3 linked regions of the Caenorhabditis elegans genome follow. The protein of the gene in region 2 interacts with the protein of the main gene of each other region in a pairwise test. Each region holds a gene or a part of one and is shown on either strand. Other genes may lie near its edges. The genes, in order: acs-24, F53G12.4 and ttm-2.

What was found.
Region 1: the proteins of F53G12.4 (region 2) and acs-24 interact in a two-hybrid assay, tested with the Caenorhabditis elegans proteins (one large-scale study listed by BioGRID).
Region 3: the proteins of F53G12.4 (region 2) and ttm-2 interact in a two-hybrid assay, tested with the Caenorhabditis elegans proteins (one large-scale study listed by BioGRID).

The regions. Positions count from the first base shown.
Region 1 is NC_003279.8:3,770,074-3,777,968, forward strand, and holds acs-24 (AMP-binding domain-containing protein), read left to right. Parts: upstream 1-4,632; 5' UTR 4,633-4,641; coding exon 4,642-4,707; intron 4,708-4,755; coding exon 4,756-4,841; intron 4,842-4,885; coding exon 4,886-5,007; intron 5,008-5,177; coding exon 5,178-5,792; coding exon of another isoform or gene 5,793-5,845; exon of another isoform or gene 5,846-6,092; intron 6,093-6,165; coding exon 6,166-6,336; intron 6,337-6,377; coding exon 6,378-6,532; intron 6,533-7,003; coding exon 7,004-7,076; intron 7,077-7,124; coding exon 7,125-7,222; 3' UTR 7,223-7,272; coding exon of another isoform or gene 7,273-7,374; 3' UTR 7,375-7,395; downstream 7,396-7,895. Other genes in the region: Degenerin-like protein asic-1, read left to right, coding at 19-174, 390-566, 936-1,175, 1,454-1,576, 1,647-1,765, 1,809-1,936, 1,992-2,089, 2,144-2,301 and 6 more; C32E8.12 (uncharacterized protein), read right to left, coding at 3,855-3,920, 4,365-4,427; C32E8.13 (uncharacterized protein), read right to left, coding at 7,273-7,374, 7,761-7,862.
Region 2 is NC_003279.8:132,344-137,791, forward strand, and holds F53G12.4 (LisH domain-containing protein), read left to right. Parts: upstream 1-1,993; 5' UTR 1,994-2,010; coding exon 2,011-2,085; intron 2,086-2,162; coding exon 2,163-2,238; intron 2,239-3,205; coding exon 3,206-3,555; intron 3,556-3,891; coding exon 3,892-4,369; intron 4,370-4,865; coding exon 4,866-4,939; downstream 4,940-5,448. Other genes in the region: mex-3 (K Homology domain-containing protein), read left to right, coding at 1-210, 269-350, 1,071-1,239.
Region 3 is NC_003280.10:4,762,445-4,769,588, forward strand, and holds ttm-2 (Protein ttm-2), read right to left. Parts: upstream 3,941-7,144; 5' UTR 3,927-3,940; coding exon 3,858-3,926; intron 3,589-3,857; coding exon 3,208-3,588; intron 3,036-3,207; coding exon 2,905-3,035; intron 2,757-2,904; coding exon 2,667-2,756; intron 2,615-2,666; coding exon 2,511-2,614; intron 2,413-2,510; coding exon 2,179-2,412; intron 1,811-2,178; coding exon 1,743-1,810; 3' UTR 1,715-1,742; downstream 1-1,714. Other genes in the region: F26G1.2 (Signal peptide protein), read left to right, coding at 773-926, 1,137-1,268, 1,316-1,414, 1,488-1,558.

The sequences.
Region 1 (7,895 bases), 3.6 Mb from region 2:
TAAATTCTAGATATTCAGATTGAAGCATTCGAGCTAGCAATTGATAAAAGTGATGGGAATGCACATTCAAAAAGGAAAAAGCGATCAGCTAATTCAAAAATGGTCCCGATAGATTTACTGTGTAAGGAGGAGCACGGAATGTTTACTGCTCATGATTATGGGCACGTGGAATGTGTAAGTAGAGTTTTTCCCATGCCGACCAATCAGCGACAAGCAAAGCACTTCACTGATTGGTCGGTGCTTTCTAATCAAAATTGTAATTGAATTTTGCAAGGTTTTGCGCAGTTACTTATGTTATAGCACAGTTATTTCACAATACCATTTTTCCAGGCAAATCGATTTTTAGACTTAGACTCCTTACGAAATCCCTCTAATATTCCCATTTTCAGACATGTGTCACTTTTGAGGATATGTCAAAAGTTGGTGACACCGACGATGATGAAATATTCTGGAATTGTCACCAAAGAAAAGATTGGACACATAAAATTTGCCACTTGGCAGAGGGATCCAATCAATTGAAAACGTGTAAATGCTTTGAGGACACTTGTGTTTCGGATGAGGTTACGGTAAGTTTGGAGGTAGAAAATTGTCTAAAATTGTCGGAATGGATATATAAAAGATTTAAAATTGTCTTCTTTCAAATAAATATAACTCGAAAAATGTTTTAAATTTTATTTTAACAAACTAAAAAATAGGTCGTAATGCGGCAAATATGAAAATTTGCCGAGTTCGACAAATTCGGCAAATGCGCTTTTTCAAAATTTGCCGTGCTCTAGCCGTAATACAGTACCCAATTTGCGCAGCAGTTCAAATAATTCAAAAATATATTTGCAAAATTGTAGTGAAATTTTTGAAAAAATGAAGTTTTAAAAATTGCATCGTTATAAGTATACTTGAACATTTCAGACTATTCTCTATCAAACAAAAAATTCCAGAAACAACTGGTGTGGCCACTTCAACTTTCCAAAAACGGCACAAAACTTTGCATTTCCCCTGAATCCAGTGGTCCCAGATATTGTGCATCTGCTCAAAAATTTCAAGTATCCACGTGTAGTAACTGTGATTGGTTGGGCAAGTGTGAAGAGTCTGATGATATGGATTTGGAAGAAGAAATCGACTCAAAAACTTGTATCTGTCATCATGGAAATTGCTTTCAAATTAAGGGAAATGTTAAGGTGATTTTACTAGGGTTCAGTAGGCAACGTGTAGGCAGGAGGCAGGCATGCAGAGATCTCCTTAAAAAACGGCAGACATTGAGCCAATTCTAATTTGCATCCAGGCATTGCAAGCGTTTGAAAAACAGGTATTATTCTAAAATTCTTGAAATCCAAATTTTCCGATAATTTGGCAACTCAACTGAAAATTATCAAAAATCATTTTTAAAAAATTAGACCATTCTTGGCAAAATTCTCCCTGGCGCTACCCCACCTTTAACTAGATATTCAACTTTCAGAAACGAAAAAGAAGAACTCCCGAGAGGAAAGTCCATGAGCGTCTTCTCAGTAGATATGAGGGTCTACTAGCTGTCTACTCGCATTGTAATTGTACTAAACAACATGGCTGTGTGTCTACTTCGGTGAGTTTTCCTTGAATTGTTTGATGTTTCTATCAACAAAAAATGAGCTCGAGCTTTCTTCATTTTCCAGGTACCCGACATGGATCTGGAAAACTCCAATAAAACGTGCCTCTGTTTCTACAATAAAAAGAACGAACAAATATGGCCATGCTACAAAGAACCGGAATGGGAGGAGAGGAAGTGCAGCAGGTTGAGCATATTTCACAGAGTTTTTTGAACTTGAAAAATTCAGATGTAACACAATGGGTGACTGCGTGTATAGTGATAAACCGAAAAAGCAAACGATTTCCTGTCTCTGCGCTACTCCGATCAAAATGTGCGTGCGGATCGACCCTCCGCAAACTAATGATACAAGTTTAGGTGGGAATTTTAATTTTTTGGAATTTGGAATTTGAAAGTTCACAAAAGGTTTCAGATGATCGCGTAGTCAAGTTTTGGGATATTCAGCCATCAACTACAATGTCTCCAATTGTGAAAAAGAAAGAAGAACGGGATAAAGCGTATGGGTATACGGTAGGTTTCAGCCACAGAAACTGAAATTCTAGAAGAAAACTGAAAGCTTTTTAGGGTGTGAAAGATAGAATTGCTCTACGAGCAAAAGCAATGGAGAACATGATTTTTGCTGTCGATGCGCTGACGGAAGAAGAGAAATGGAAGATTTCTTATAATAAGTCTGATTTTATTATGAAATGTTCTTTTAACGGAAGGGAGTGCAATGTGAAACAGTAAAGATTTTCTGGGGTGTAACTTAAAACTAAGATGATGTTTCAGTGATTTCGTGGAATACCTTGATCCAACGTATGGTGCATGCTTTACATATGGCCAGAAGCTGGGCAATAATACGAATGAACGGTCCGGCCCGGCTTATGGTGAGTATTAAATTTTCCAAAAAGCTAAAGCAAGTAATTTAGGACTTCGACTAGAAGTTTTTGTGAATGTAACTGAATACCTGCCAACGACTGAGGCAGCTGGAGTCCGGTTAACAGTTCATGCAACCGACGAGCAACCATTTCCAGATACTCTTGGATTTTCAGCGCCAACTGGTTTTGTTAGCAGTTTTGGTATTAAATTGGTAAGCCTTTTTTTGAGAGTACTGTTTTAAATGAGCCGCCCATACACCTATCCGCCTTCGTCTTATTTGATGCGCAATTTTTATAGCCGTGCCAACTATATCAAATTTCAAAAAAAAATCGCTCAGAAATCAATGGTCCGCCTGCCTGCTCCATATGGAGATTGTGTTCGAGAAGGAAAAACTGAGGACTTCATTTACACTCAGAAGGCCTATAATACGGAAGGATGCCAGAGAAGTTGTATTCAAAAACATTTATCAAAAACTTGTGGATGTGGAGATCCCAGGTTCCCACCGTACCGGGAATCGAAAAATTGTCCGGTAGATGACCCCTATAAACGTAGGTTTTTTGGAAACTATTAGAACTTTTTAAAAATTGAATTTGTTTCAGGTGAATGTATTAAAAACGAGATGCACGTGGCAACTCGAGACTCGAAGAAGCTTGGATGTTCGTGCAAGCAACCTTGCAAGTGAGTTTTTAATTCTGGAAAATTTAACTAAAATTTCGAATAAATTCTCAATTTTCATTTCATTGAACCAACTCTGCAAACATTTTCAGCCAAGATGTCTATTCTGTTTCCTACTCGGCTTCAAGGTGGCCTGCGATTGCTGGAGATTTATCTGGATGCCCACTTGGAATGGCTGCCCATCATTGTTTGAATTATAAAAGAGAACAAGGATCCATGATTGAAGTGTACTTTGAACAACTCAATTATGAATCACTTTTGGAATCCGAAGCCTATGGATGGTCGAACCTTTTATCTGATTTTGGTGGACAATTGGGATTGTGGATGGGTGTCAGTGTGATCACTATTGGAGAAGTGAGTTCTTTACTTTTGGGCTGTGGGAAATTAGAAAGTGAACAATTTTCACTTTCCTTTTTTGCTTTTTTTTGCTGAATTTATTTTTCTTTTTTGTTAGAGCGCCCTTGCTCCGCTATTTTTAAAGCCTCAACTCTTCCGAGGACTAGTTTAAAATACAATTTCTCTTCCACAGTAACATTTTTTTCAGGTGGCCTGTTTCTTCTTCGAAGTGTTCATCTCATTAATAAGCTCAAATCGAACAAAACGACGTCCTGCTCGGAAGTCATTCAGTTCATCTCTACGATGTTCAACTGATTATAATTTAAACAAAGACGGGTTTAATCTTGATAATTGATCTCTTTTTCTTCGGCTCGTAAAACTTTTTTCTATGAAAAACACATTTTATTTAAGAAGATAGGGTTGTTGTGGTAGAATCGGTGATGCGAAATCCGTCCATACCGCCCATGATGATCTGAAAATGTTTGAAACTTGTTGCGGCCATAAAGTGGGTATTGGCACGATTGCATGCAATTTTTAAGAAAACTCAAATTGTTATAAAATAGTTTCAATAATATTTCTATTTATTTTGATAATTTCCTTTCAACTTTGGCTTACAAAAATCGGCTTAAAAATCAAAATTTCCTGTCTGTCGGTCAGGTGGCCTACGCCTGCCTTGTACCTACACAGACCCGTTTTGTCATAATACAAATGAACTTTGTTCTTTTTTGTTCAATTTTCCAATTAAAATTTATCTGCAATTGTAAAATGTCTAAAACCTAGTTCTGGACAAAATATAAAACTTCGACAGTAGGCAGGCATGTAGGCATGAAAACTTGCCTACCTATGATTTTAGTTCTATACTTTTAAAGGCATTTAAAACGAAACATTTGCGCGTAAATTGTGATTGTGTGCTTACCTTCGAAGCTGTTTCAACGAAAAATAGGATAGTAAAAATAAAAAATATTATGAAATGATTCATTTTCCGATGTACAGTTTCCTTCTTTTTTAAATTTATACTGCCGATATTATATGGGTCTCTAAAAATTTAATGTGTAATTTTATTTGTGGTTTGTTGTCAATGTCAACATGATGTCAATACAGTAGTCTGAGCCTCCAAACCGCGGCTAATTTGAAAACTGGACCCAATTAAATGTTACGTTATTTTCTGGAAAGAAACATTCTGTACAATAAGAATGATGCGAAATTTCGGTCGTGAATTTCTTGAAGAAACGTCTATTTTTGAGAACAAAACGTGTTTGGTAAGCTTCAATTTTTGAGCCCAACTTCAAGAAATAACATGTTTTCAGATCTGGAGAGACAGGGAAATTTCTTTTAAAGAATTTCACGAATACATTGGAAAATGGAAGAACGTTCTAGATGAGCAAAAGACAAAGTGAGAAATTATGTTGTTTTTTTTTGAACGTGTATAATTTTTAGAACAACAAATCCGCTCCGTATTGCACTATTCTGCACGAATTCTCCAGATATTTTAGCAATAATTGTGGCCGGGCAACTTTCCGGAGTTACAGTAATTCCACTAAATCCATCTTATAAAAAATGTGAGGTTTTGCTTACAGTTAGTCTTAGGCTTAGGCTTCCGCTTAGGCTTCAAGAACCTTCGTTGAATATCCATCGTTCTGTGAAACTAGATCTCGATGACTTTGGCAAGAATTGAGCAATTGAAACTCCGTGAAAAATCGTTAAAATACAAATATTACTAAATTTTCAGATGAGATTGATGAGTACATTTCCAAATCCATTGCGAATTTCATAATTGTCAGTGATGATGTGGATTTGGACAAATTCGAAGAACGAGAAGTGAATCTTATATCGGAGCTATTCACTTCAAATGTAACTCCATCTTCAACTGCTTCAACTCCAGAGAATCAGGGAGTCATTGTATTTTTTAGTTCTGGAACTACAGGTCCACCTAAACAATTCGAGTATACTCAAAGAATTCTATGCTCCCAAATCGATCAAATCAAGGCAATTAGATCAGATCCTCGATTCTTCTCTCCTTCAACTGATGACATTTGCTATGGAGTTCTTCCATTCTTCCATGCGGGTGGCCTAATTACAATACTCTCCATGATATTTTCTGGATGTACTGTTTTGATAAACGAACGATGGAATGAGCATGAGTTCTTGGCAAATTGCCAAAATTACAAAGTCTCAGTGTTGTTTCTGGTTCCACCCGTTCTCAATTTCTTCGCTAATCATCCATTAGTGTCCAGTTACGACCTTTCCGCATTGAAAACCATATATGTTGGCGCTGCTGCAAGTCCTCCGGAGAATTTTGCAAAGGTTGCGGAAAGATTACCGGAGCTCGAGAATTTGATACAATGTAAGTTTAGTTACAATGTAAGTTTTTTCATTAGGAGAAAATGTTGCACTTGAACTTAAAGGTGTGAGCATATTTTTCGGTGAGCCACGATCAACGTGAATTTGAACGGGGCACCGGTAAATTGTAAATTTTTGGCTATTTGATGTGAAGCGTTTCGAGACCAAATTACACACTTTTAAATGGAAGGACGTACATGTTAGCTACCATACAAGGTATGCACGTATTTATGCCTGCCTGCCTTCGGTCTTTTTTTTTTGTAATTTGGCGATCTTTTTGAACGATGTTTGGAAATTTAACAGGGTAGGCACAAGGCAGGCTGTCCCATTTGACATGACCTGCCTTAAGTATACATTCACACAAATTTCATGTTCAGTGTACGGAACATCTGAATGTGGTGTACTCCTGTGCAGTACTGGAAAAGGAAAAGCTTCTGGAAAGACTGTTGGATGGCCATTCCCTTTCGTCGAGCTTAAGATCAATCCTGAAAATAATGAGATTTTTGTGAAATCTGCCACAGCTATGGAAGAAGGATTCATGGAGACTGGTTCGTGAAATAAAGAAATTAATTCAATTTTTCAAATTTAGGCGACCTGGGATGCTTGAGCTTCAAGACAATTGAGCTAATGATTGTGGGAAGATCCAAGGAAATGATGAAAATTCGTGGATGGCAAGTTAATCCAAATGAAGTTGAAGACGTGATCCGGAAAGTGGAGGGTGTCTTGGATTGTGCCGTGTATCAGGTAAATTTGCGAGTCAAATGCTGTACATTAGGAAAGTGACAAGAAATTCCGCAACACGGACATGATCCGATTCTTTTATATGTAGCGAAGATACGCACTGTTCCTAGAAGAGGTATTTGAACACTTTTGACAAATGCTCTTTCCCTACGTTTACAATCTTGATTTTTTACTTAAGAGCGGAGAGCCGTTGATGTTTAAATACATTATTATAATTTTTCAAAATTCTTATTCAATTTATTCTGATTTGTTACTTCAGCATTATTGTCTTTGAAACACACATTTCAACAACAGAAGAGTCAGCCAAAGCCGATACCCAAAAATAAAACGGTCGGCCATCGCCTCTCGTATAACTGATTAGTTCTTGATAAACTTTCATTTAAAAAATTTGTTTGGGAAATTTTACTAAATTTCATTTCCGCCTCATTTATGATTTCGTCGGATTCAAAACAACACAATAAATACCAATTTCAGAATCAAGAAAAATTAACTGCAAAAATTATTGGAAACCCGGATTCAAAAGCAGACATTTTTAAAATTGTGAAAGGTAGCTTTTTGTAACTTTTTTTTCTTTTTCAAGTTCACCCTTTACCAGACAACTTGGCATCCTATAAACAACTGGATGACGTCATTTTTGTGGAAGAACTGCCTAGAAACCCATCTGGAAAACTAGTCCGTCATATGTTGCATTGAAGTTGAATGTATATAATAAAATGCTCATAAATCTTCATTAAAGTCCAAAATTATGATTTCCCACCGTTCTTCGCTGCGGGACCACTTACTGGTTTCTTGATAACCATTCCAATTGAGCCACCCATGAGACCTTGGGCATTTTCGTCGTCTCGCTAAAATTGAAAGAAAGTTTTGGTGTTTTTACTGATTTTTTGTAGCCGAGGAATAAGAAAATAACTTAATTCTTGAAACGTGCAATTTTTAAACAATTGTATATACTGTGTCGGCCAAAATTATATGCGTTTTTGAGATTTCGTTTTTTTTTCTAATTTTTTTAACAGCAAACACTCTGAATACTAAAGATTTCTGTATGCTTTAGAACATATGTGATATAAAATAAAATTTAGAAAAACTAGGCCGTCAATTTTTGACGGCCACGGAGCAACTTATTTTTGATCTACAAAAGTTGCAGCAAATTTGTGTTTTCGAAAAAAAAATCAGAAAATGCACTCTAAAGAAGGGAGAAGTTTGCCATTTCGAAACAAGTTGAAATTCATACCATCCACCGATTCCGTGCACCTGAATTCTTATGTCGAAGGGCAGAATATGCTCCAACCACGTTAAATATAAGGAACACCACTAGAAGTTTCAGAATCCTCATTGCGATTCTCGAAAAAATGATTCACAACAGGAA
Region 2 (5,448 bases):
CGTCGCCATTCGGAATGGAGAGCTCGTTGGGATTGGACGCGTTGCTCCGCAGTTTCCCATCGATGCGTAGTTCGTTGACTCCGGAATCTCTTTCCGGTACTGGACTGTCTTCTCGTCCATCGTTGGGAGGAGGACAATCGGCGAAACAAGATCTGCCAACCTACGACTACTGGGGAACCAACAACTCGCTTAATGATATTATGGAGAACGGTAAGCTTTTTTTGCGAATTTTAATAAGAATTTTAAATGACAAATAAGGATTTTTCAGAAATTCTCAGCCGCAAGTACGATGCCCTGTCCGCATGGTCGTCGATGGGATTGGAGAAACGCGAGGAATCCCCAACCAATGGGTATATATTTTTGAAGGAATTTTATAAATTTTTGAAATAAAACTAAAAATTGCAATTTTCCTTCAAAGTTCTAAATTTTTGAAAGAAAATTTGATTTTCCGCTAAAAAATTTAAAAAAAAAACAAGTTTTCGTGTTTTCCACTCGGAACCTGACGGCTTCTTATCAATTTTTTAAATAAAAAATAACGTTTCTAAAACTCAGAATGTTTAAAAAATTTCACATTAAAAAATTATTTTTCCGAAATCTTGAACCTATCCGTTTTTGAAAATAAAAAAGAGTAAAATCGTAGTTTTCTCTATAAAAATTATAATTTTCATTTGAAATTCAAAAATTTTTAAATAAAATTGGATTTTGTCCGTCAGAAATCTATAAAAAGAAAATTTTTTTTGAACAATAAAAGAAAAATTGTAATTTTCTTTTGAACTTCAAAAAAATATGTTTTTTTTCACATGCAAAAAATTGATTTTTTCAAAACCTCGTTTTTGAGAGAAAAAGGTGAAATTCCAATTTTAAGAGGTAAAGTTAAATTTATTTATTTTATGAGAAAAACTTGAAATTTAAAGGAAAATTACTGAAATTTACAATTTATCATACATATTTTTTAATTTCGACATATCTCGAAATATCAAGTCGTAAATTTTTTCCACAAAAGTGTGATATTCTCTTTAAAAACTAGAAAATTTCAATTGTAAATTTATGAAAAATCAAATTTTTTGCAGGCTCATGTCCTCCCTCAAAGGAACATCCGCCGGCTTCGGTCTTCTCAGCACAATCTGGTCTGGCGGAAACATGAATCTGAGCCCAGGATCGTTGGCTTCAGCATCTGCCTCGCCGACTTCATCGACCTGCGATCACAACGATCATACTCTCGTGCCGATCAATGGATAAGCTGTGGATCCATTCATCATTCCATTACTATCGTGTAGACTCTCATCTAGCAAAAACCCATCCTCAACGAGTTCCAAATTCATCTTTCCATTCTTTAAAAGACTCTTTTTCCCATTTTCTACTTTGTTCATCGGTGTACGAGTCCCTCCATTCCCATTTTCTCACCTCTTTACTACATTACTAGAACACACAAAAATCACCATCATTCTCACCCCAAAATCCTAGACAAAAAAAACGAAAAAAATCACATATATTTATATATAACTATTATTATTTGTTATTCATATTTTTGAAATATCTATATTATATATATTTATATATGTAACCCATGCAGTCCCCCAATATATATTCCTACAGTAGGTTTTTTTGGAAAATCTGTAACTTTCTCTATTATTCTTTTTTGCATTATGATAGGACGACCAACTCATGTTTTAAACAAAAATTATATATATTATAAGGATTTCCTCTTTTCTCTCTATCTCTCACCTAGTGTTTAACTCCCAATTTTCCCCCTCTCTACTACGCACAACTAACGGAGAATTGAGAGGCCTTTTATATTTATAGCACCTCTTTATAATTAAAAACTCGAGTGATCCCCACCTCACCCATCAAATTTATCGTATTTTGTAAAAGTTCTGATATATTCCACAGATTTTGGTGTATGTGAATGAAGCGATTCGTGTCGTCTCTCCATATTCTGGTATCCATAGCAACTCCCCGAGCTTTTGGCTCACTCGCGCACGCCCTATACTATACCTTTACTATTATTAAATGCACTCAACAAATCCTATCCTGCGTCAATTGGCCGATCAATTGTCCGAATTGCCACAATATGCACCATTGCGGGTAATAATAGCACAATAGTTGAATATATTAATAATTCAAAAATATTTATTATATTTTGAGGTGTCCCATTGTTTCAGACATATATCCGCGCGACGATAAGTGCCACGTTGGGGGAAACGCCAAAGAAAACGAGTAGGGATTTGACGTATAGAGGTGAAATTTTTAGAAAATTTGAAATTTTCTGAAAAAAAAAGGATTTTTCTTTTATGAAAAATGCTCTTTTCGCCAAAAAAATCACAATTTTCGACTTAAAAACTTCAAAATTTTTTCAGGAACACACAATTCAAAATACAAAATATCTCGTAGCAAAAACTACAGTAATTCTTTAAATGACTACTGTAGAGCTTGTGTCGATTTACGGGCTCAATTTTAAAATTAGATAAAAATGAGAAAATAAAGACACGAAGAAACGAATGAAAGTGTAATATCGAAAATATTCGAAAATAAATAAATTTCAAAAATCGAGTCCGTAAATCGACACAAGAGCTACAGTAGTCATTTAAAGAATTACTGTAGTTTTCGTTACAAGATATTTTGCGCGTCAAATATATTGTGCAATATGCATTTTCAGAATTTTGTGTTTCCGTAATAGGTAAAATGTCAGAAAATCAAGGATTCAGTGCAACCCCGCGTTCTACGGGTATTTTGGCCACGGCCACTTTTTGCAAAACTGCAAAATAGGCGTTGTTATTTCATTTTCTGAAAAAAACATTGAAAATTATTATCGAGAAAGTACGATCTGACAAATTTCTCATAATTTATTTTTGATCTACCTGTTGAACTTTACTCCGCCCCCAATCTTGTTGCCGTTGTTATTTTGTTGTAGCTGTCTTGTCGAAGGACGGGGAGGAGCCTAGTCAACAAGGTAGATAAAAAATATATTATGAGAAATTTGTGCGATCGTATTTTTTCGATTATATATATATATATATCTTCATGTAATTCTCATGAAATCTTGAAAAAAAACGCGACACATGGTATTACCACGCCCACTTTTTATAATTTGAGCGCGTGCAATTTTTTGTCGATAACATAGTTTCTATTTAAACAAAAAACATCGTGCGCCCACATTGAAGAAAATCCTATAATTGGGCGTGGCCTTAACTCTGAAAATTTACAGAACGTGTCACCCATAGCATGATTGCCGATTGGCTCGAGCAGAATGGATATCCAATATCATCTCAAGTCTTGAAAACAGAAATGTCTGGAAACTACATGGAGAGTGCAGAAAAACACGTGGAAAATGGGGAAAAAATCGATAATCTATTGCGAAGTCAGCTGAAAATCGATATTCGCGATGGCACCGGTGACGATTTTGAACGAAAATCGATAAAATCGATTGGCGCCGGCCGCCCGTTTGCAAAAATTAATATGGTCGATAAACAGCGAGCACCGTTGAAAATTACACCGCTTAGTGATGAGGAATTTCGAAAAACGATGCGGAAACGGATGGAAATGGAGAGGGAACGAGTGAGTTGCGTTAAATAATTTTTTTTTGAAATATTTAACAAAAGTCGACAAGGCGATTTTTTAAAATCGATGTTTCGCGACTTTTATTCAAAAGAAAAATTTCAATGCCCTAAATCACTCAAATGATGATTAAAAAAGTATTTGCGCGCGCGCGTAAAATTTAGTGCCAGCGTATGACACTATGTGGTGCAAACTTCACTCCGGGTCCGACACTTTTTGGATTTTGCGCATCGCTATAAAGATTTCAGATCGCGGCGTGAGAGCGGCGTTTGCGGCGCCGACATGAGAGTCCTACTTTCCTACTTTTCTTGGCAAAAAAATCGATCGATTTTTCAGCTCGCACGTCTATCCAACCAGGCAGAAGACGATTCCGACGATTCATCGTCCTCCTCCGACTCTTCCACGTCATCCGCGTCGTCATCTTCCGAGGAGAAGTTGACTTTTTCGGATATCTTGGGGAAACCCACAGCAGCTGGCGCGGAGAAAATGATCGAACTAAGCCAAATTCCCAACGCATGGGGTCCGTCAAAATCCGCGTTAGTCACTGATGACGTGGCAAGCACTTCTGACCCACTTCCGGCGATTTTCAACGCACATCTTCCGCCGCTCTCCATGGGACGACCACCGCTGACAAAAAGCGCGAAAAGTCGGGAAATCGACGCCATTTTCGGCTCGGATAACGTGGATTATGATTTAGAGGATTTCGAGCAGGATGGCGTGGCGAAGAAAAAGTCTATACTGCCTATGGAGAAAAAGAAGGAGGAAGCGAAACCAAAGGAACAGGAGCTAGTGGAGCCGTTGGTCTTGTCAGAAGGTAACTTTGAACTTGCACCATGCAAAAATTTCGAAAAATTATGCACGTGGTCACTGGCTGTCCTTTTGCATAAGCTTGAAGCAAACGCGCCTCATTGAGAATTCACGTTTGCGCCAACTCTCGCTATCCATTGGGCGTGAGAGACGCAGATACTACTTTTTTCTCTGAACGTGAAAAACGCAAAGAATAACCGTTTTGCCGTCTGCATCTCTTCTTTCACACGCTATTTTGGCTGTGGACGAGGAATTCTCCTCTTCCAGGATTTTCTAGGCCATTTTCTCATATTTCTCAAGTTTTCTCGTCCGCGAGAAAACGTGAATTTTGAGACAGCCAGCGAGCACGTGATTATGCAACTCTCCTAAAAATCGATCATTGTTCCTGTAGCTTATAATTTTAAAGGCGCATATTCCGCTTGCGGAGCAAAAGTAAAAAAAAAACATGCCTCTACATACAAATCGATGAATTTCCTGAAAAATCAATAATAAAAAATTTTCAGGAGAATCAATCGACGAGCTTGAAGATTTCGACACCGGTCTACTATCTTCCGGAGGATCCGATTATTCTTTTTAAAATTTTCTTCTTTTAAAAAATTTCTTTTGAAATAAATAAATTCTCACCTAGGAATTTCAACAATTCAACTTGAAAAAAGTTCGCGCAAACTACGAACAAATGTGTGTCGAGCGGGCGGAGCCACTGAGAAAGAGGAGCAAAATGTACACAAAACCATATTTGAGTGTAATTTTTCAAAGTTTGGCGCCGATTTTCTGTGAGAGATGAGTTTTCTCAATTTATATTTGGTTATTTTTATTTTAGTTCTTACTGGTAAATTTCTGGGTAAGTCCTGATGACTTTGAAAACGAAAAAAACTCTTTCATTGATGCTAGTGCGATTGCTAGGAAAGCAACTTTTCAGTTACCAAGAAAAAGTCCAAGGCCATAGGGATTAGCTGCGTGGCATAACAACTCATCCATCCTCGCAGATGCAAATCCGCTCTATTGGCAAATAACATGGAAGAGTATAAACATTTTCTCTTCCACACGGAAACCTAGTCCCCTTGGGGAGCGGTAGTGCCCACAACC
Region 3 (7,144 bases), on a different chromosome or scaffold from region 2:
TGGCGCAATTCCCGGAGATCAAATCAAGAGAACACACTTTGGAGAACTACGTGACATTCGGGGGCCTTTCCGGGAGAGTGGAGAGAGGTGAGCCGAGCCCCGTGAGATATCATGCCATAATTCCCAATTTCCGAAACTTCTAGAAACGCTTTTCCGCACACTAAACCAAGATAACTCGAGACCACAAACTACACATCACAAGTAACACAAATTTACTACACCAGCGCCTTCAACTTAAGACGTCACAACGTCTCGTGTCCCATCGCCACGTCATCCTAATCAGATCAAAACCTAGTGAGCCGTAAGTGAATCAGGTCGGCAGTGATGGTGAAGTGATTCAGAAACAAGTCACATTCCACCCGTTTTTTCTTGACTTCTTCCTGCAAACCGTCTTTCCCTTGTTCGTCAAAGACAAATGACCCCCTCCCCGAAACTCCGCCCATTTTTGCCTCCAATTTTTGAGAAGGCAGGTCGTTGTATAAAACTAAAAGTTTTCCACAAAGTTTTATGGTATTCCATTATTCATTTCAAATATTATTTCCATTCTATTGATTAACTGATTTTTAATTTATTCTCTGATATCTGATAAAAAGTTTAAATCAGAAGACACAATACAATCACATTCCGATCTTATCATTCATCTATCCGTTTCCTCGATTTTACAACTTAATGATCACGATCTTCTCTTTTCCATTTTCCCTCAATTCTACCTGGTTTTGATTTCAAAACTTACTATTTGGTTTCATTTCAGAAGTTTCACACATTTACAAAAATGCTCGGCATGATGAACTCGCCTTCCGATTCTGTGGAGTTTTACGCCACAAACCGAAAAGTTTCCGATGAGCTGGGAAGTGCGGCGGAGAATTCTGAAGAATTGAAGAAATTCTCAGAAGTTAAGCAGAAAGATGTGGTTTCTTATACAGAAGGTAAGCTATTTTACAACGTCACCTTTCTCTCGCATATTGTTAACTTTTGGTTGAATACCGTCGAATTTCTGTCGCACTAACTCTAGAAAAAGTGAAAAAAAGCTAATTCTGAGGCCGTGTGCAAAAAAGTTATCAAATTTTTGAAAAAAAAAAATTAAAAATTAAAAATTTCGGCTTTCTGAGTTCAAGAACTGATTCAATTTTTTCCAGACGGCCGTAAAATGATCAATGGGAAGCTTGTCAATGAAAGTGATGCTCCAACAATGTGGGGATCCGCGTTGCTCCGTGGAAGAATCCGTACGATTACTGGAGCTCCACTCACTGACAAGGAAAAGAAAGAAGGTAATTTCGCAATTTCTTTCAATTAATTGAGCAAAATTGTGCTCCAGAACGCGAGAAAGTGCGTCGAAATTCGAAAAAGTTGGGGAAAACCATTGCGGTGGTGGCGTCACTACAAACTTTGGCTAGCACTGAAGTCATCGGGCAAGGTGTGCAAAATTAACTGCATGGCTTTTTCTAACTGCAAAAAATATATTTAAACTTATTTTCAAATAATTTCAGAATCCAACGCCCCACAACCAGTAGAAATCACGCCCGTCGCTGTTGTTGGCTCCGACAGTCCTCCGAAATAAATCAATTTATTCAATCAATTTATTCAAAATAATGATTACACTGTAGTGTGCAATAGTGGAAGACAACAACACAAAGGACCTCGTTACCCAAAACGCTTTATGACAAGTTTTATTGATTTTTCCGGAGTTTTTCTGTTCATATTGTTTTTTTTAAATACAATAAATGATTTATTAAAAATTAATTTCAAGCAAGCAAATCTACCGGTAAATTATTAAGAGTGTTGTTGGATGCAGAGATATCGACGAGAATGTCTGAAAATTCAGACATTTGGGAATTTATGATCAAGTGAATATGTTCAAAAATATTTATAAGACAGCCAGGCAGGCACAAGAATATTTAAATGTCTGCTCAATGTTGCCTACGGAAGTATGGGTTTCCAGCTTTTTAGTTTTTATAATATTTGGAATTTGGTGCAACTTGAGCACAGCGTAAAAATTTTAGAGCACCGTATAAATAAATCAAGTGGTCGATTTATTTTATTTGGTCCAATTTATAATATCCAAAATCTAATTTTATTTTGAAAAGTTTTGTAAGTGTTTGTTTCTTTGTTGTTTGTCAAAATTGTTTATTTTAATTTAGTAATTTGGACCTGGTTTTAATTTCTGCCCTGAAAACTTACCTTCTTTTTGCATTGACCTTCTGGAACTCTGATCCATTGTAACAATTGTAATGGGAACTTCATAGGATGCCAAAACAAAATTATGAGCTCTTCCAATTGTCACTTTTAATGAATATTCCGTTTTAAACAATCCATTCACATGAATATTTGGTGGTAAAGCAGGAACATTGAATGTCGGACGGAATGAGTAGGTTTCCCCAACAGCGATTTTTGTTTTACTGGGAAGGCCAACTCCTGAAATTGTACTTTTTTAAGTTTTGATAAGTTAATTTTAGCTAATTTTTGAGGTTTTTGAAGTAGATATTATTATAAATTAAAAAAGTACCATTTACCTGTAGTATCAATTTTAACCGTATCGATAACTTCATTATTTTGATTCAAAGCAGAAATGCGACGAACAATGTTCAAATGCACATATTTTAGTGATTGTTTCCATCTGAATAAGTAACCTTAAAATTTATAACATATTAAATTTTTCCGAAACCAACCTATTACAAATAGTGATACAATTTTCTAGTCTGGCAGTAGTTGTGAAAACATCTGTAGGTAGGAGCATTTCCAAAGAAATTGATCGCTCCCTGGAATAATATTAATTTTGTAGAACTGGTGTTTAAAATATTTTTGAAACTTCTTTAATTTTTTTTTCAATTTTTAATTCAAATTTGAACAATTTTTGGGTATGGTTGCATATTTGAATTTGAGTTTCCTGTCAAAATTCATTCTTACTTTGGAAAGTTAAAAGTTTTCTGAAAATTGACCGGCTTCGGAGTGACCTGCCGTTTGATAGATTCATAATTTAGTACGACGAGATTTTCTTCGTGAGATGCAATTTTAAATCCTTGGTTGTAAAGTTGGATCTGAAAAATATTATTTTTAAGTTTCAGAATCTTGAACTCCTTGCTTTTGAAAACGTGTAAAGTTTTGCCGACAAATGCGTAGTTTGCCTGAAGATGGGTTTTACCTTTTGAGCCTACACGAGAAACTAGGCACGTTGACTTAAAAGTGTGCCAGCATTAATAGACAACTTACTTCCAACGTGAACCTTATGGATACCGGAGATCCTGGGCAATAAAAACTCGGAGGTGCAAAATGAGGTAGTTCAATTTGAATAGGAAATGTTGCAGCTGTTGTGAATAAAGAGGAAGATGATGCAGATGCAGATTCGCTTGAAAAATGCCGATTTTGATTTTCATCATAGAATACATCCAATCCAAGCATTTCGCTAACTGTTTGATACTTCCAAAGTTGAGCTTTTTCGTCAATTAGAACTCGTGTTTTTGATGGTGGAAGTGGCGATCCATTACGGTTGTGATTAGGTGGAAGTTGTTGGAAATATTGAATTTCTCCATGAAGTCTGCCTTCTACACAGTCGATTTCGAGAGGGTGGTGGGGTTCGCAGACGACGTGACCCTGGAAATGTGATGTGAAATACAGGTCTTCATAGAACTTAAATTCGAAGTTTCAATACTTTTATGTTGCATAGATGCTGCGGGTGCCAATGATCAGTCCTTGACTCAAAATATAGATCATGGAATTGAAACCTGATCGATGGGAAATTTTGAATAAATCTAGTATGTAGACTATTCCTTTCAAATACCGCAAGTTTTTAATTTTCGGTTCCAGTAAATAAAATACATACCACCCATTTTATCGCAATAAAATTTTTTTTTAACACCCACTTGAATAGTTTGTCCAGGTTGATAAAATGGCCGATCGAGTAACACTGTGAATCGTATTTTGTCCAGCATTTTGGACTTCCCACCTGGAAAAAAAATTTAGAAAAATTCAAACATATAAGAAACAAACAAAAAAGATCAAAGCCACATTGTATACATAGTCTGAGTGTACTCGTAAACTCTTTGAATTACACACCAGAATATGATTATGAACAGGGCAGAGAGAGAATAAAAGATAGTTGATATATTCAAATTAAAGTTTCAGAGGACAACAAACTATCACACGTGATGAACATACAGGGGGGAAAGTCACAGAATTCATATATCACGTACGCTACAACTGCAGTAGAGTCATAAAAATATTGATTGAGATTAGAAAACTCCAGAAAAATCTCAAGAGAAGTAAATTAATTTTATCTTTGAGCTCTCTGAATTAATAAAAATTATAATTCCAGATGATTCAAGAAACTTCAGACTGAGCCTGCTATGAAGTCTCAAACATGCCTACCTTGTGCCTACATACGAACCTAATGGCAGAGTGCAAGAAACCGCTTGAGTTATAGAATGGGCAACCCTTATACTTTTACCTACATGAAATTCGGTATAGGCAGGTAGGCACGCAGGCAGGCCTCAGTTTGGGGTTTACGCCCGCATATGTGCATTCAACGGCAGTATTATTTCACATTAAGAAATAAAGGAAAAAGTAGAAAAGTGCAGTTTGAACGTAGAAAATAACTAGTTCTGAGTGTGTCAAATGAAAGCGTTCGTTTCCAGAATAATTAGAATAGAATAGAATAGAAGAACCTTTTGCGGATCGGTTAGAAGATTTTGAAAAGTAAATTGTTGGAGAAAAAAGAAAGATCAATCAGCTGGGGTGAAGATCAAAAGCAATCACTTTTGCACATATTGAAAAAAAGCTTGTTGATTTTATTTTGAACGACAAACAATCGTATGGAGGTCACAGTTCAAGACTGACGAGCAAAAGCTGACTGGAATTTTGAAACGAAATATTAATAAACACAACTTTTTGTAAAGTTAAAAAAAATTCAACTAAATTCTTTCAAAAGCTGCACAAATTTAAATGTGGGGTATCGTCCGGAGGGATTCTGTTTTAAAATATGGAAAATAGGGTCATAATGACTACTAAAATTTTAGAGTTTTGTTTTTGACTTTTCTTGTTATTCCATTAAAGACCTGACCATTTGAAATTTATTTTGTAACACTGGAAAAATTCATTTCAAAAAATTAGGAAACTTAGTTTATTTTGAACCCATCTTCTAATATTTAAAATAAAATCCCCATAGGCGCTCAAATTTGAGTTCCTTTAATTTTCAGAGGAGCTTGGAATTTTAGAAAACCAAAAATATTTTTTACAGAAAAAAAGCTAATAAGCTAATATTCCAATCAATTTCCAAAAATAGACAAAACCACCAAGAGCGATCAAAACAATCAATGAGAGATGCGAATTCGAAGTTGAAAGATGAAAAGGATAAGACCGACACATCTTCTCATTTTCTTATTTTTCTTCCGTCAACCTAGTGTGTCTCTATTCAACTTTTGAAGGTTACAAGATTCTTTTTTTCTTCATCTGTTCCTTATTTAAACTCATTTTCCGGCGGAGAATGATGAGTCAATTAAGATTGAAAGAGGGCAGGTGGAAACAGGAAGAAAAGGAACAGACGTTGTTAGCCACCCAAGGGGAGAGGGGGAAGATTTGAAATTAGGGTTTGAAGAATGAAGCTGAAGTTGTTATGCTGGCAAAGGAAATGCCTGACTGTCTGCCTACAATATCTTTGATTTTTAAGAAAATTCTGATTATTCAAGTTTTGACCATTAAACAAAAATTTGACTACACATTTCCAGAATTATAACAAATTTTGGGGTATTTTTATATAATGTTTGGCCACGCTAAAACATTAAGAGTGAAGTTAGACAAAATCCCAACTGACTCTACTCTACCTTAAAGAATTGTTTCTAAAACTTTTGTTAAAGGAAAACATTAGGCTTAAAAGCTCCAATTTAATTCATTTTTAAGAGCCAAATTACCAGAAAAAAATTCCAGAAAGCTTTCCTAGACCATTAAGCTTTCCTAATGGTTTAAACAGACAAAAAACACACGAAGAAACGAGAAAAGGGTGCAAAGGGTATTCAGCAAATGAGGTTGACACAGAGAGAGTGAACCGGTCGTTTATAAGTGTGGAATGGAAAAAGAAAAGAGAACAAACAGATCGGTACAGCCAGATATACTCTTTTTCAAAAGTCAATTTGTCTTAAGGGTTAAAGGTGAGTAAGAATAATAAGTGTAGGGTGAAGAATTATGGGAAAGTTTAATGCAATGATGGGAAAAAATTGAATTAAAACTGAAAGGCATGACCTAACAAGGATCTTAGATTGTCTCCCGCTGAGATGAATAAGTTGGCGGTAGATGAGGAAAAAAACTAGTTTTTTGAATTTTGGTTTTCAAAGTTTTTAAAGTGGACAAAAACACTCGAGCATATTTTAGTTGAATCAGAAAAACACAAGAGTGAATAAATGGAAAAATCCAATTTTGATTTTTTGTAATCTAAAAATTAAATTTTGATTTTAAAAATCAGTATTTTACTATCAACTTGTAGAATAAGATTTGAAGCGTAGTTTGTTAAAAATTTTTACGCTTCATAGTCTAAAACTAAATTCTTAAAAAAGAAACAAAATGAAGCAAAAAACATATAAAAGTATGGAATTAATTTTTTTCACATTTTTTTGAAAGAAAAACACCATTCTCATTGCATTACAGGCATACAAAGAATACAACTATTCAACTTTTGAAAAAAATCAAATTTTCAATTTCCGGGAAAACGACTCAAAATTTATGATGACTGTTTCAACATTGATAAATTTTCTTTGAACATTCCCTCCCATCACAAACACATCATTTTATTTTCACCAGCTGTCAATTCCACGCAAATTTGTGATTTAAAAGTGTTGTTTAACAGTCTTATCAGAAAAGAAAATCTGGACAATAAACAAGTCTCTTCGGAAAAGGAATCAGCTGACCGAAACACATGTAATTTGACACAGTTATCATAGAATAAAATGAATGAAAAGTCAAGTATGAGAAAAATGGAAATGACCATGAAATTTTTTGCGACAAGTGCGTACGATTCTTGCGTGCGTCACTTGATTGGCTATGAACATCTATGAATCAGCTCTCCTAAAATAAATAGCAATTGCAAGAAAAACGTCAATAGAAATCCGTTTCTAAAAGTAGGTATGACGCGTTCGCATTAACTTTTAAATTGGGAAATGTG